Linked DNA regions of Canis lupus familiaris. The protein of the gene in region 1 interacts with the protein of each later gene in a pairwise test. Links are inferred from orthologs where the notes say so. Each region holds a gene or a part of one and is shown on either strand. Other genes may lie near its edges. The genes, in order: TFDP1 and E2F6.

Region 1 (3,816 bases):
TGTACGTCACTGCAGAGCTCAGGGCCCACACCCTCAGAGCCCTGTGCCAGCGGGTCTGCAGATGTTTGCTGCTCCAGGTCCGTATGGGGGCATGGCCCCATGTCTGCCTTCTCGGGACCCAGAGGGGCAGGAGGAATGGAATATCCAGCATTGATGCGTTTCTTTTAACCATTCCCGGGAGACGTTTTTATCTCAGTGGCCTGAGCATTTGCCTCCATTCCCCTTGGGCTGTTTGGTGTTCAGGGTGTGCATCCTCTGCTGAGCCCTCAACGGGGCCTGCGTCTCCCCCTGGTTTGCTCTGGCCTCTCATGGGCCTGACCCCTGTTGCTGTCCTGTGGGGTTGGGCAGAGTTGTTGGGACACCTATGGACAAGGCCTTCGATTGGTGGCAGCTGGTGTGAGCAGCGTGCTGGTGGCTCATCTTTTTTAGCAAATTGCCTTCAAGAATTTGGTGCAGAGGAACCGCCAGGCGGAGCAGCAGGCCAGCCGGCCGCCGCCCCCCAACTCCGTCATCCACCTGCCCTTCATCATCGTCAATACCAGCAAGAAGACCGTGATCGACTGCAGCATTTCCAACGACAAGTAGGTCCATTGATGAGTGGGCCCCTACTCTGAGGTCCCAGCTGAGCCTCAGGTCAGCGTGGAGAAAGCCACTGTCACACTCAGAAGTAGCATGTTCACTTTTTTTTTTTTAAGATTTTATTTATTTATTCATGAGAGACACAGAGAGAGAGAGAGAGAGGCAGAGACACAGGCAGAGGGAGAAGCAGGCTCCATGCAGGGAGCCCGACGTGGGACTCAATCCCGGGTCTCCAGGATCACGCCCTGGGCCAAAGGGGATGCTAAACTGCTGAGCCACCCGGGCTGCCCCCACTTACTTCTTTATAGAAGTATCTAATTTGTGATTATTGTATATAGTCTTTCAGTGTAATGAGATGATAGACTTCTTTTTCACATCCCTGGTTTTGTGTTTATCTCTTAAAATGTAAAATCTCTCAGGGTTATTATTAGCGCATCCGTTTAAACCTTGTACAAGCAGTAGCCAGTGTTCAGTTTCAGCATTGGCCTGAGGTGTGGGCAGTTGCCCCACGCTCAGCTCTGTGATGCCTGCTGCTTCTGCGGTGATGGGTTTTGTGGGATGCCAGATGAGAAAAGGTCCTGGGAGGCTGGGCTGAGTGACTCTGCTTGGGGCCCCATGTGTCCCGTGTGCCCCACATGCCTGCACCGTCAGGAACGTGGCATGTGGTTCATTTTCCGGTGGTGACTTTGTCTCTCAGGTTTGAGTATCTCTTCAACTTTGACAACACGTTTGAGATCCACGATGACATAGAAGTGCTGAAGCGCATGGGGATGGCCTGTGGGCTGGAGTCCGGAAGCTGCTCTGCTGAAGACCTGAAGATGGCTAGGAGTTTGGTGCCGAAAGCACTGGAACCCTATGTGACAGGTCAGTCTTGTCCGGTCCCCTTGGTGGCCATGGGGCCAGATCCCCGCTCTGGATGTGTGGCCCGCCTTTGCAGAGGCCAAATCCAGCACCGGGCACCAGGAGTGGACTCAGCCAGGAAGGGGGCCCTGGGGCCGTGAGGCGGGTAGGGTACAGGGCCGGCAGGCTGGACGCCATATTGGCATTGTGTGGTTTATGTGACGGAGGTATTAAGTTAGGATTTCACCTTCTGGGTTCAAGAAGGCAGGGACTGGAATGTCAGAGGGTGTGGACGAGGTGGGTGGTTGACCTCTGAGGTCCCACAACCAGAAGAGGCTCTGGGGAGTGCTGTGCTCTGCCTCTTCCCGATGTGGGGGTGAGGACGGGTTTGCCTGGGGGGCAGTTCTCTGCTTTCGCTGCCCTTCTGGGGACTCCTTTGAGGAGCCATGGGGTCGTGGCCACGGAGGGGCTTTGTGGTGAGAAGGCTGCTGGCCCTGCACTGCCTGGGGGTGTGGATCTCCTCCCAGAGCCACTGGGCTGGATCAGACACCACAGCAGCTGCCAGCAGTGCATGCCATCTCCTGGGATGGGGAGTCAGGGTTGGTCCTCCTGCTCTCGACCCCACTTTCAAACAGTGTCCATTTACGGGACAGCTGCATGGTCATCAGTGATCACGTAAACCAAGGACTGGGTGCCTTCTTGGGCAGGATGGCTGGTGTCCTGGCACAGAAGCTGCAGGGCGGGTCAGCTGTCTGGCCTGTACCTGTGACCTTTGCCTTGTTTTCTTCTCATTTCAGAGATGGCTCAGGGATCAATCGGAGGGGTGTTCGTCACGTCATCAGTTTCAACCTCAAATGGCACAAGGCTCTCTGCCAGGTACTACAGCTCTGGGCTGGCTGGTGGGTGGAGCCCCTGGCTCTCCTGAAGACCGTCCTGCCTCCTCCAGGGCTCCCCACTGGCTCCCTCGCGTGGATGGCGGATCCCCACACTCTGCCCACAGTTTTGGCTGCTCCCGGCCACAGCTCCTCTTGAGCTGCATCCCCTGAAGGCCCATCGTAGCTCATCCCCTGGGTACACAGGATCCTCTTGCTTAGGGTTTCTTCCCCCTAAAACATCAAAGTGATGCGCGTGCCTTTTATTTGTTAAAAAGTAGGATGCATTGAAGGTAGGGCTGGAATTGCCTGAGCTCTTGCTGGCAGCCTGAGGGATGGGGTGTTTCTCCGTCTGTTTCCTATTTCTGTTTAACACAGTTGAGATCACAGTGGACATAAAACTTTATCCCTGCTTTCTTTTTTTTAAGATTGTATTTATTTGAGAGATAGAGTGTGTGTGCACAGGAGCACGGGGAGGGGCAGAGGGAGAGGGAGATGGGGACCCCTCGCTGAGCAGGGAGCCCGATGTGGGGCTCAATCCCAGGACCCTGGGATCATGACCTGAGGCCAAGGCAGATGCTTCATTGACTGAGCCACCCGGGGCCTCTGTTTTTTGCTTTATTATTTACTGTATGTGTTTTTTTTTGTGTGTTACTGAAGTTTTATTATTTAAATCACCATGTAGTAGCCTTTGAACTAGCCATCCTGCAAAAGCAGGATTATGTTGTCGCTGGGTATTTATCTTAGTTTTCTAAAGATTAACATAAGATAATTTCTGCATTAAGTATTGACAAAACAATGGTTTTATTAACTTTCATGTTATGTTATACGTTATTATACATATTGTCTCATATCAGTCTTAAATACTAATAAATGTCTAATTTCTTGAAGCGTGAAATAGATTAGTGGTCTATAGGTTCAACAGAATGGAATTGATCTGCTCAAGGGTGATGTGGCGCTCTGTGGCCGTCACCGGCTTCTGGGTTCTGTGACACGAGTGAAGCTCTTGACTTGCGCCATGCGATGGGCTGGCTGTGGGGTTGTCACCGCAGTCCTTTGTGTAGTATCTGGCCCCCATCAGATTTAGGCAGAGGTCAGCTCAGTAGGTGGTCGTAACCTTCCCGCTGTGCACGGGTGGTTGTGAGTCTGTGGGATGCTGAGCACTGGTTATTCCAAGAGGCGGAATTTGGGTATTAATGCAGGTTTATAGCAAGGTAAGGAGAGCCACTACCATTTCAGAAGAAAAACTAGTGTAGAAACTGGCACTGATACTTTACCGAGGCACAGTGATTTCTTGGACAGTTAGGTGGTTCCCACTTAGAAGAAAAGATGCAATTTGAAGTCGTTTTTTGGCTAAATTTTTTTACCCTTTCTGACTTTTTTGCTAGGCTGGATTTCACAGATGTGGAGTTCCTTTGTCAAAGACTGTCACCTTTAATAGTTTTTAATCATATGGTGTTCATTAATTCTAGTAAAAGGCATTAAAATATATACGTGTGGTTGTATGTCAAAGAAAAGCGTTTGT
Region 2 (3,816 bases), on another chromosome or scaffold:
TATATAGAATTTTTGGTAGGTGTCTATGCTTACTGAGGAAATAAATTTCTTTTAATGAGCTGAGAAAGCAATACTATTGAGAATTTTACAAATTTGTCTGTTTTGTTTCCCAGAAGCTCTAAAAGTGAAGAGACCTCGTTTTGATGTATCTCTGGTTTATTTAACTCGAAAATTTATGGATCTTGTCAGATCTGCTCCTGGGGGTATTCTCGACTTAAACAAGGTTGCCACAAAACTGGGAGTGCGAAAACGGAGAGTATATGACATCACCAATGTCTTAGATGGAATCGATCTGGTTGAAAAAAAGTCTAAGAACCATATTCGATGGATGTGAGTTGGTTTCGAAATTTTCATGGCCTTTTTTTTTCTTCCTTCTAATTAAGTGACGATACTGTACTTGAAACAGACTAGATATTAGTGTTTTGACAGGACAAAACAAAGTAAGAGATGACTTCTTGTTAGAAAAGGATTCTACAGAAATTTCTCACAAGGTCCAACAAGGTACATAAATATTTTTTTTTTCCTACTTAGGGCTAAATAAAAGCCATAGACCTAAAATATAATTCTGATGTTATGGAAAAGTTGAATGGAATAATGATCAGTTCTAAGAGTTTTGATTTTCAAGATCCTAGGAAGGGGACGTCCGATTGTTTAGGAGATTTTTTTTTTTCCCCAATTGATTGTTGATATCAGGAGAAACTAGTTAAGGTTGTAAAACAATGTCAGGTAATAAACACTTAGAGACCTCATGCCCCAGGGGTTGTATGTAATTCATTTGTTCTTTGGCAAAGGCAGGAATCTAATCTACCTTCTTAACAGCTACCCCAGGTAATTATGAATCAGATGGGCTCAGATCCATAGGATCGCATACTGCCCTAAATGTAAAAAAAAAAAAAAAAAAAAAAAAAAATCCGTAGACAATATCTAAAAGGCAATTGCTGGGGGTGCCTGTGTGGCTCAGTCATTTAAGTGTCCAACTCTTGATTTCGGCTCAGCTCGTGATCTCAGAGATCAAGCTCTGCACTGAGCATAGAAGCCTGCTTGAGATTCTTTCTCTCCATTTCCCCACCTGCCCTCTCTCGTACTCACACTCTCTCTCTCAAAAAAAGAAGCATTTGCTAAAGACTTCAATTTCATTAGGAAGGATCGTGGAAAAAAGGCCTTTTGATACAGATGTAGATATACATGTGTATATGCACATGTGCATAACAAGAAAGCTTTTAATACTTAAAATAGACAAATATTTCAGATCAGTAAGAAACAGTTCCAGCATATAAGTACATATAAATATATTTCATTTCAGGCAAATGAAAAATCTAACAAAAAAGATCATGAAATGGCTCTAAGTAATGCACTTTGCTGTTAGAGGAAAGTGGTTCATAAAAGGAAGTTATTTATTCCAATAGTACAGAAATGCAGATTGAATTCTAATCTGAATATTAGCTAAAAAATATTAAATAACACTTTAGGACTTTTTGTTTTTTAGGATTTTATTCATTCATTTGAGAGAGAGAGGGAGAGCACACAGAGGGAGAGGGAAAGGGAGAAGCCAAACTCCCCGCTGAGCAGGGAGCCTGATGTGGGTCTTGATCCGGGACCCCGAGATCATAACCTGAGCCAAAGGCAGACACTTGACTGACTAAGCCACCCAGGCACCCCACACTTTAGGGGTTAATATCAGATTGCATTCTAAATCACTACTTAAAATCAGATTTGAAAACTACCAAGCAAAAGGTAAAGTGGTCACAGCCTTTTTCCTCTTTATTTTCCATAAAGAAGAAAAATTAGTATCAGTGGACTCAGGTCATATCATACCAATGTAATAGGTAAACCATAACAACTAAGGAAAATATATCTTCTGAGAATAAAGAATATAACATTATATTCTTTTTTTTTTTTTTTTAATTTTTTATTTATTTATGATAGGCACACAGTGAGAGAGAGAGAGAGAGGCAGAGACACAGGCAGAGGGAGAAGCAGGCTCCATGCACCAGGAGTCCGAAGTGGGATTCGATCCCAGGTCTCCAGGATCGCGCCCTGGGCCAAAGGCAGGCACTAAACCGCTGCGCCACCCAGGGATCCCTATAACATTATATTCAGATAGAACCAAGTAGAATATGCATTTGAGAGGGAAAATACTCAGAATTTTAGCAAAAGTACTATAATTTTAGTCAGTACTCCTTGTTTTTCATAGGGTACTAAAAGATTAGAACTACCAAAGTCCTACTGTAGGTAGGAGAGCTGGGGCTTACACTGGGTATTATTGGTTCTCAGTCTGTGCTCAGTGAACTCCATCAGCTTTCCTTACTACTGTTAATTTCCCTAGTTATAAGGGTTTTGTTTTTGTTTTTGTTTTTGTTTTATCCCTGTGTAAGAGACTAGAAATGGGGACAAAAGCCAGTCTATGTGTAGGAGGAATAATGGTTGTCTAAAAGGAGGTCAGGGTTGATGTTCAAGTACCTAGTTTTGTCTGTCATTCTGGGAAATACCTGATGTCAACATTTGGAGAAGTTCTAGGAATCTAACTTTTCTCCTAGATGTGTCTGATGGTGATTTTTTTAATTTATTTTTTTAATACCTTTCCTCTAAAGAGGATCTGATCTTAGCAATTTTGGAGCAGTGCCCCAACAGAAGAAGCTGCAGGAGGAACTTTCTGACTTATCAGCAATGGAAGATGCTTTGGATGAGTTAATTAAGGATTGTGCTCAGCAGTTGTTTGAATTAACAGACGACAAAGAAAATGAAAGATATCCTTTAACTCTGTCTTTTTTTTTAACTTTTTATTTAAATTCAATTTAACATATACTGTGTTGTTTCAGAGGTAGAATTTAGTGATTCATCCGTTGCACACAATACCCAGTGTTCATCACACCCCGTCTCGTTCCCTCCTTAATGCCCATCACCCAGTTCCTCCCCCACCTTTCCTCCAGCACCCTCAGTTTGTTAACACTGTCCTTTTTTAAAAAAAATCTCTCCTTTCAAACCAGGTTACTTTAAATAGTAGGATCAGTTTGGGGATTTAATTAATATATTCAAAGCACAAAACTAGAGCTTTAGAACTTTTAAAAGTAAGTAAAGGTTAAATTGTGTAGCCTGAGGTATACACAAATAATTGCTGTTTTGCTGGTATTTGCTCACGTTAAATGCTGCATTGTGACCATGTACCAAGATCAGTGTTTGCATTTAAAATGAAAATAGTGGTGTGTTCTTGTTTGTTTTTTTAGTCAAAGAATGCTGTAAAGGTAGTAAAATATGTTGTTGGCATTTGTGAAATTGACATTTTTCCTAATTTGTTAACCGGAGTTTATTTCTGAAACAACTTGTCATTGAGACAGTACTAGTGCTGCCACTCTGGCCCACAAAGCCTGGTGTAGCTGGATGTGCCTCTGGGACCAGCAGGGGAGACGGGGCAGTGGTGGCAATCTTCTCCTGTGTCTCCCGGCCCATCTGCTGCTCCGTTCTTGCCTCACCTGAATGAGGCGTCACTGATTCCGAGCTGTTCCATGCCTCAAATTTACTTAGATTCTGTATCAGTCAGATGTTTCCAGAGTCCAGTTTACTGGAAGGAAAGTAAATGCTGTTCCTCTTCCCAATCAAAAAGTAAACCAAAAATGTTGGGGAACCAAGTAAATCACATAATTGGTAAAATTTCAAGTAACACAGTAAAGATAAAAAAAATTCACATAGATGGAAAATATTTGGGATACAGGAAATCGCATAAGTATATGATAGCCCCAAAGCACATACTCTCCTAGTGGCTTCTGCTCTTTCTTAGATTTTTTTCCACTTGCATTTTAGGAGATTGTCATCAAAACA

The links.
Region 2: the proteins of TFDP1 (region 1) and E2F6 interact in binary tests that used the Homo sapiens proteins (3 or more experiments, as listed by UniProt). The link is inferred for Canis lupus familiaris from reciprocal best matches to the Homo sapiens genes TFDP1 and E2F6.

What each region holds. Positions count from the first base shown.
Region 1 is NC_049243.1:61,047,065-61,050,880, forward strand, and holds part of TFDP1 (transcription factor Dp-1), read left to right. Parts: intron 1-429; coding exon 430-581; intron 582-1,276; coding exon 1,277-1,443; intron 1,444-2,216; coding exon 2,217-2,295; intron 2,296-3,816. UniProt on the Homo sapiens protein: Can stimulate E2F-dependent transcription.
Region 2 is NC_049238.1:8,172,536-8,176,351, reverse strand, and holds part of E2F6 (transcription factor E2F6), read left to right. Parts: intron 1-113; coding exon 114-330; intron 331-2,591; coding exon 2,592-2,747; intron 2,748-3,816. UniProt on the Homo sapiens protein: Inhibitor of E2F-dependent transcription. Binds DNA cooperatively with DP proteins through the E2 recognition site, 5'-TTTC[CG]CGC-3'. Has a preference for the 5'-TTTCCCGC-3' E2F recognition site.